2 linked regions of the Danio rerio genome follow. The protein of the gene in region 1 interacts with the protein of each later gene in a biochemical or structural test. Links are inferred from orthologs where the notes say so. Each region holds a gene or a part of one and is shown on either strand. Other genes may lie near its edges. The genes, in order: dgkza and sntb2.

The links.
Region 2: the proteins of dgkza (region 1) and sntb2 form a complex in vitro, tested with the Homo sapiens proteins (2 studies listed by BioGRID and IntAct, with this or other methods). The link is inferred for Danio rerio from reciprocal best matches to the Homo sapiens genes DGKZ and SNTB2.

Annotation. Positions count from the first base shown.
Region 1 is NC_133182.1:39,269,438-39,273,725, forward strand, and holds the start of dgkza (diacylglycerol kinase zeta), read left to right. Parts: upstream 1-1,201; 5' UTR 1,202-1,338; intron 1,339-4,288. UniProt on the Homo sapiens protein: Diacylglycerol kinase that converts diacylglycerol/DAG into phosphatidic acid/phosphatidate/PA and regulates the respective levels of these two bioactive lipids.
Region 2 is NC_133200.1:37,500,305-37,504,130, forward strand, and holds part of sntb2 (beta-2-syntrophin), read left to right. Parts: exon of another isoform or gene 1-297; intron 298-841; exon of another isoform or gene 842-1,690; coding exon 1,691-1,892; intron 1,893-3,778; coding exon 3,779-3,826. UniProt on the Homo sapiens protein: Adapter protein that binds to and probably organizes the subcellular localization of a variety of membrane proteins. May link various receptors to the actin cytoskeleton and the dystrophin glycoprotein complex.

The sequences.
Region 1 (4,288 bases):
CACTTTTTAATGGAAACTTATTTAAACATTACTGCATTCATACAACGATTTATTGTTTTTCCCATTTTCACTATATATACTATGCATGTAGACCTTATAAATATAGGGAAACTACTGAGACAAATAAGTTATATCTCTAAACTTTAATAATAAATCTATATAAAATGCTGCACTTCCCACCCTCTTTATTCAGCTGCAATGACTTCTGGGATTTCTCGAGCAAGTTTTGCGATCAAGTCTGCATCGATGCATCTTCAATATCAAAAACATATTCAGGAACTATCACCCGTCCACTGTTCTTGCGCTCTTGAGTATTGGAACTGAACTTCGGCAGTTTATTATGACGTTACGTAAGAACACGAAGACGCAAGAACGCTTAAGAACACATATTGAGAAACAGCCTCTAAAACAGGCATGTGGGAAACTAGCATTAAAGCCACAGTTACAAAAACAGTTACATTGTGTTCAGAGCAGAAAATCCAATATTCTGAAATGTATAGTAAATAATCTGATGGATGGTTTGAGCTGAAACTTTACAGACAGATTCTGGAGGCACAAAAGACTTCTCTTAAATCTCGAAAAGGGGTAAAATAGGTGCTCTTTAAAACTTTGCTATTAAGAAAATATAAATATATTTTTTTTAAAAGTGGCTTTATAGCACCTCAAATGCTTGGTTAACTTGTAATAAAGTATATATTCTCTTTAATAATTCACCCAGAGGTCTTTATTTTGTTTTCTTCCTATTTTCCTTTTTTTTTTTTGGTCCATATAGGTGTATCATATTATTTAGACTCTATCAGTCCACTCCAAACTGTTTTTTGTTTTTCAGTAGAAGAAAAAACATGAGGGAAAATAAATGATTACGTGAGTTTTTGGTTAAACTATGTCTTCAGGTCAGAGATACACTTACTCTGCTTTCTCAGCTTGCCAGAACTCATTTATTTACATAATAACTTCTGGGGGTGTTTGCTTACATATTTGCATGTACTGTACATGCACTCAAATGTGTTCAGACAGTACACGTTTTTGAAGTGTTTGGTTGACTTGATCTGCATACAAGCTCGGTGTTTGCGTCAGAGGAAGCATGCTTCGTCAGTAGAATCATGCTGCTGTCTGTGATCCCCTTTCTCACTCTCTCTCACTCGCTCTATTTTTGACCCTCCCACTCTCTTAGGACAGACTGCATGCTCTCTGTTTCCCCATCCCCAGTCTACCTTCTTTCTGTCTCTATTCTCCTCTTCTCTCTCTCTCTTTCTCTTATTTTCATTCTTCTCTAAAAGTTATCTGGTGAGAGAACTGGAGAAGACGTTTGGATGATTTTGACCCTGCCATCAGGTTGTACGTTTCTCTAACTATTCACTCTACAGGGTTTAGTCGATCTGGAGAGTTGGAGTGCAGTGCTGTATCCTTTAGACTGTGATTTATGCTTGCGGTGCTTGTGGGAGAGCAAGACATGTGAGGTTTATTAGGCAAATCTGCTGGATCGTCTTGTCTGTGGCAACTCATCTGAAGATTATAAGTTACAGTGACTGTAATCTCATTGATGTCTTTGTGATTCTTTGTGATGAACTAATTTTGTATGTATTTGCATGTAGCGCTTCTGTAGTTTGCAGCCAGAAGTTTTAATCTGTTTCATGTTTTAAAGAAAAGGAGAAAGTTGTACTTATTTTGGGATTGGTGTTAGCAATAGCATTTTTTTATAACTCTAGCATGGAAACTTTCAAAATAGTGCACTCGTGCTTGGTCACTGTGTTTGTGTAATGTGAATAATAAAAATAAATAGTCAAGCACATGATTAAACTGCTGTGTTTATAGGCCACTGATTGTGAGTGTGAGAGACAGAGAGACTGTAATTTGTACATGCTGGCAGAGAGATAACTCAGATATTTATATGCACAAGCTTCTCACTGCAGACTAGATATTTATTTGGGCAAAAAGATAGCTCTGTCCATAAATTCTGATTTGCAGGAGCTTTGCCTGAAACCTAAAATATAGTGTTTAGGCAATTTGGTGTAAGACGATTTGCTACAGTATAATGTGAATGTTACCATACAGTTGTGTCTGTATGTATTAAGGGAAGCAAACCTGTTGGTGATTTCATCAGGACACTTCTTACTTTCAAGACTTGACTGATTTACCATGGTTAGTGGTCTTCTGCACTTTTCAAATGGAATAGTTCATCCAAAATTGAAAATCATCATCATTTTTTAACATTTACTATAGGGCTGCATGATATTGGAAACATTTTGCGATATGTGTTTTGCAATATGAATATAGTTTCACCAGATGACTTATTATATGTACAATTGTATCTTAATAATATATTAATAATATCTATTTGGAAAGAGTATAAAATAGTAGATCAATTAGGATGATTCTGTAGTGGGGTGCATAATCTATAAAATTTAAAGGGTTCACCGAAGTTTTTACATTGTTGTCTGCTATATTTGCAGTGCATTTCTGTATATGCATGTTTTGTGAGTATTTTCATGCACATGGTAAGTCAGAGATTGGGGAATTATTAATGTTTACTATTTGCATCTTGATAAAATCTAATAAACAACCTATAAAGTTTTTGGGGCCCTTAAAAACATTTTCTTTGTGGTCTGCATTACCTGCAGTGCATTTCTAAATATTTTCATGAATAACTATCTATAAATATAATCAATATACAATTGAAATAAAGTGTTTTATTATTTCCCAAGTCTAACTATATTCAAGTACAGTAACTAAATGATAAAAAAAAAATATATATTTCAATAAAAGGAATCATAGTTATGGTCAAAAAGGTCATTATACAGTTACAGACATTAAAACGATAAATTATAATGCAAACTCAACATTTCATATCCTGCAATGTGACTAGTGTGAATGATCACATTGCGATATCGACGCTGAAACCATATATATTGTGCAGCCCTAATACAAGTTACAAACCTATCTACAAGTTACAAAACCAAGAGTTCTCTCTCTTGCTAAACACATAAATGTTTTTTTTTTTTTGAATGATAAACAAATAGTTGATTTTAGCTATTGGCATCCACTTTTATTTTTTTTATTTTTAAGTTGAATTTAATAAATGCCATCAGTCTGGTTATCAATATTCTTTCAAATATGTTTATTAATAAAATAAGATTAAAGAATATCTTTAACACTCCAAGTTTTGATCAAACAACAACAGACTTTTCAGTTCTGGGTAAACTGCAGTAGTCAATTCCTTAAAGTACAACAAGGCAAGTGTGTGTTCACAGCAGTACCTAAAAGCCCATTTGACACTGCCAAAATGTGGAAAATCCTCGTAAAGAAGTTTAGGAAGCGAATGAGCCATGACAGCATGGGAAGAAATGAGAGCGAGAGAAACTGCAGCTTAGAAAACTGTTAGGAATTGAAACATGGCATGCACATGCTCAGCTGCTTTACATACAGGATTAGTGAATTTCCTGCTTGATGAACTGTCATAATACATGTCAGATTAAAGATTTAAGGTGCTGAAAATCTATAAAAACTCTTGGAATGTTGTCATATACATTTTTGAAAGCAAAGTATAAACATCTCTATATCTTTTGAGAACCATATAATTATTGAAATACTGCCAGATGTAAGAATTTATCCAAGATGTTAATACTTTTTGATTTATTTATTTTTATCAATTAACTACCAGACTACAAACAGATGTCTTAAATCAAGTTGGGTTCTAACTGAAGATATGCAAAAGCAATTAATTATAAAAGGTACTGTTTATAATAATTGAATTAACTCCACTGAATAATGCTCATACAAAATAAAGATAAAATATGCCCCGAGGTTTATACAACTAGGTCCATAAATATTTGGACATCGACACAATTCTAACATTTTTGGCTCTATACTCCAATGGATTTGAATCGAATCCAACCAGATTTAACTGCTTTAACTGCAGACTGTCAGCTTTAATTTGATGGTATTTACAACCAAATCAGGTGAACACTGTAGGAATTACAACAGTTTGCAGATGTGCCTCCCACTTGTTAAGGGTCCAAAGGTAATTGGACAAAATAATAATCATAAATCAAACTTTCACTTTTTAATCCTTGAAATACTTTTGCTGTCAATTACAGCCTGAAGTCTGGAACTTATAGACATCACCAGACGCTGGGTTTCATCCCTGATGATGCTCTGCCAAGCCTCTACAGTGACTGTCTTCAGTTTTTGGTAGTAGAAATGCAAATAGCACACTTGAAATGAACTCTGGATCTTTTACATGCTCATTTTATTTGGCTTAATGAAGGAATTAACAAGAGGGTCCCTT
Region 2 (3,826 bases), on another chromosome or scaffold:
CGTCTCGCTCGGCATTTGGTTATTGTTAGTCAACAAACGCCGGTTGAACATTAAACGCGATGGCAAAGAAAGCAAGAGAGGTATTTTTGTGGACAGACGACGAGGTCGAGTTGTTACTAAACGTAACAAATGAATAACTGCAGAATGGCGCCTAAAACAGACAATAGTGCAAACAACGCTCCCATTTCTGTGTCCATGTTGTTGATGACAGTGAAGGCTGGTCTGCTGTCTTCCGGTAGCGTTAAAGCCATGTGTTATAGTCATGTGATAGGGGCTTGACGAATAAGGGAAGGATACGCAATAGCTGCGTCCCAAATGGCACACTATACACTATGCACTCATGCACTATGTACTTATGCACTTACACACTCAACAGGATAGTACATGTATGTAGTGTTGTCCCAAATGGCACACTAATGTTTTTTTACTAAACGGAAATTCAAACCGTTTCCCTGATGACGTTTGACGGTTGCCAAATCAGTGAAATAAACGAACGAATTATCAAATAAAACCTGCCGTGAGTATTGCCGCATTCACCATCGGGAGGCGCTATAATCACTCTCGTAGGAGAATTTTGCTTTCTCCATCCAAAATAAATACAGTTATCCAACATGTGCGCTCGAAAGCTCCGCCCCTTCCGATACGTAAGCAAACCTGCGGTCGTTGAGTGCGTGAAGTGTCCATCATTCCACACTTCATTTTAGCGGCTGAATGAGGGCATCATCCGGGTAATTAAAGTGCACTTATTATTTTAAGAGTTTTCAGTGTGAACACACTACTTACACTATTTATACTACAAAATGGCGTAGAATAGTGCATAAGTATGCGATTTGGGACGCAGCTAATGACACAAAAGCCCCAATCAGGGAGCGAATCTCAGCGGTCCCGCCTCCGTTTTCAGATGTCTCCGTTTTTCCTCATCCACACCGAGACATTGCAGCAGTGTGTCAGTATGAAAACAGCCTCTCCAGCATTTTCAAAACGCTCCGTTTTTGCCGCTCGAGAACTCCGCCGTAGTGTGGGCGGATGGCGTAACCGTAGCAAAACTTATGCGTTTTAAAACGAAAACGCATTAGTGTAAACGGAGCCCTAGTGTCCACTTTTAGCGAGTCTCTTCTTTTCTGCTGCTGTAGCTCATCAGCTTCAAGGTTTGATGTGTTGTGTTCTGTAGGGTTGTGCAATATATCGCAGCAAACGTTCATGTATTTTGCTTCAAATAGATCTGCACCAAAGTAAATGTGTTCACAATTATCTTACACATGTCTCCATGTTCGCAAGGTACATGTGCAAGTTGCTGATCACGTTGGTTTTCGGGCAGTACCTAATAGCGTTGCTCCTGCTGCAGCTGTGATACAGCAACAAATTTCCTTGATTATTATAGCGAGAATGAGGGAATAGCCACTTTTCATTTTCCTTTTGTCTTAATAGACGATGTAACTACAAAAGAGTCTGGCTTCAAATAGGAAAATATGTGAGTGAGATGCTAATGGTCTAATCCGATTCAATGATCTATGCTAAGCTAATAGTGCTTTAATAGCAGTGAAAGAAACTCATAAAGGTTTCTAAAAACTTGAGGCAGAGTGAATAGTGAGTGAATTTACATTTTTAGTTGAACTATCACTTCATTCAAATCATTAAAAATGATGGTCTGTTTTGACTCCGCTTAAGACCACTTGTGCTGTGTGTGCAGTGAAGTACATCAGAGAAGTGTCTCCGCTCTTCAAGAAGTCCTCCATGAGTGCAGATTTGTCCTGGGATGGCCGTCTGCAGTCTCCAAACCTCAGCAGCAGTGATGAATCCCCCAAGAGCAGCGTCAGCCGAGACAGAAAGGTCATCCCGCTCAAAATGAGCTTCATCAGCCGAAACCTCACCATGCCTGACCCGGAGAACAGGTGAGTCCCAGATCTCAGAAGCAGCTCTGTGTTATTGAGCTTGACTTTAATTCTACTGTGAAGACAGAAACTATGTTTGGATTACACTGAGAGTCAAAACTTATGATATTTAATGATTTTAATGTCTCTTTTGCTTACCAAGGCTGTTTATTTGATGACAAATTTCACTGACGACGTGTACTTGATCAAATAAATACAGCTTTTGTGAGCAAGAGATAAATGTAGTCAGATGACATTGTTGACAGTCATATTGGCAAAGAAATCGATTCTGCATCAATTCTGACATTCTCAAAATGAGTCTTTCTTCAATTAATTTTGAGCAATTTTTTAACAGCAGGTAGCACTCTTGTTTTAACCAAGCATGGTGCTCTAGGCTAGTTGTAAACCAGAGATGGTGCTTTAGGCTAGTTTTTAATCACGGATGGTGCTCTACGTTATTTCTCAACAACAGACAGCGCTATAGGCTATGTGTGGTTTGTTTTTAACCACAGACAGTGCTCTAGGCTAGGCTAGTTTTTTTTAACCACAGACAAAGCACTAGGCTAGTTTTTAGACCACAAACAGTGCTTTAGGCTAGGCTAGTGTTTTGTTTTTAACCACAGACGGTGCTCTAGGCTAGGCTAGTGTTTTGTTTTTAACCACAGACGGTGCTCTAGGCTAGGCTAGTGTTTTGTTTTTAACCACAGACAGTGCTCTAGGCTATTGAGTTGTTTTTAACCACAGACAGTGATCTAGGCTAGGCTAGTGTTTTGTTTTTAACCACAGACAGTGCTCTAGGCTAGGCTAGTTTTTTTAACCACAGACAAAGCACTAGGCTAGTTTTTAAACCACAAACAGTGCTTTAGGCTAGGCTAGTGTTTTGTTTTTAACCACAGACGAAGCTCTAGGCTAGGCTAGTGTTTTGTTTTTAACCACAGACGGTGCTCTAGGCTAGGCTAGTGTTTTGTTTTTAACCACAGACAGTGCTCTAGGCTAGTGTTTTGTTTTTAACCACAGACAGTGCTCTAGGCTAGGCTAGTTTTTTTAACCACAGACAAAGCACTAGGCTAGTTTTTAAACCACAAACAGTGCTTTAGGCTAGTGTTTTGTTTTTAACCACAGACGGTGCTCTAGGCTAGGCTAGTGTTTTGTTTTTAACCACAGACGGTGCTCTAGGCTAGGCTAGTGTTTTGTTTTTAACCACAGACGGTGCTCTAGGCTAGGCTAGTGTTTTGTTTTTAACCACAGACGGTGCTCTAGGCTAGGCTAGTGTTTTGTTTCTAACCACAGACGGTGCTCTAGGCTAGGCTAGTGTTTTGTTTTTAACCACAGACAGTGCTCTAGGCTAGTTTTTTTTAACCACAGACAGTGCTCTAGGCTAATTTTTAAACCACAGACAGTGCTCTAGGCTAGTTTTTTAATAACAGATAGAGGGCTAGTCTTTTTAACCACAGGCGGTGCTCTAGGCAATTTTTTTTACCACAGATGGCACTCTACGCTAGTTTTTAACCACATATGGAGGGCTAGTTTTTTTTACACCACAGATGGCGCTCTAGGCTAGTCAGGCTAGTTTTTTAACCACAGATGGCACACTAGGCAAGCTTATTTTTTCTTAAATCTTTCCTAACTTTATTAATTATTATTTTAGCTTTGAGTAGTATTTTTAAAGATTTGCATGCAAGCAGACTACAGCTGTTTGTGAAGCGTACAGCACCACCTGCTGGTAAAACTAAGCTCATAATCAATAATGATATCTCTAAGGATTTTTCATTACAGCTCTAATCATTTCAATATATTAACAGTATTTGGTAATAGTGAAATAAATATATAAAAACATATTCTTATGTGGAGTTAATTATTAATGTGTAGATGCATGTATTATGGTGCTGCATGTTTTTGTGATGCAGGTTGTTGGAGCTTCACTCTCCGGACGGTCAGCACACGGTGGTGCTGCG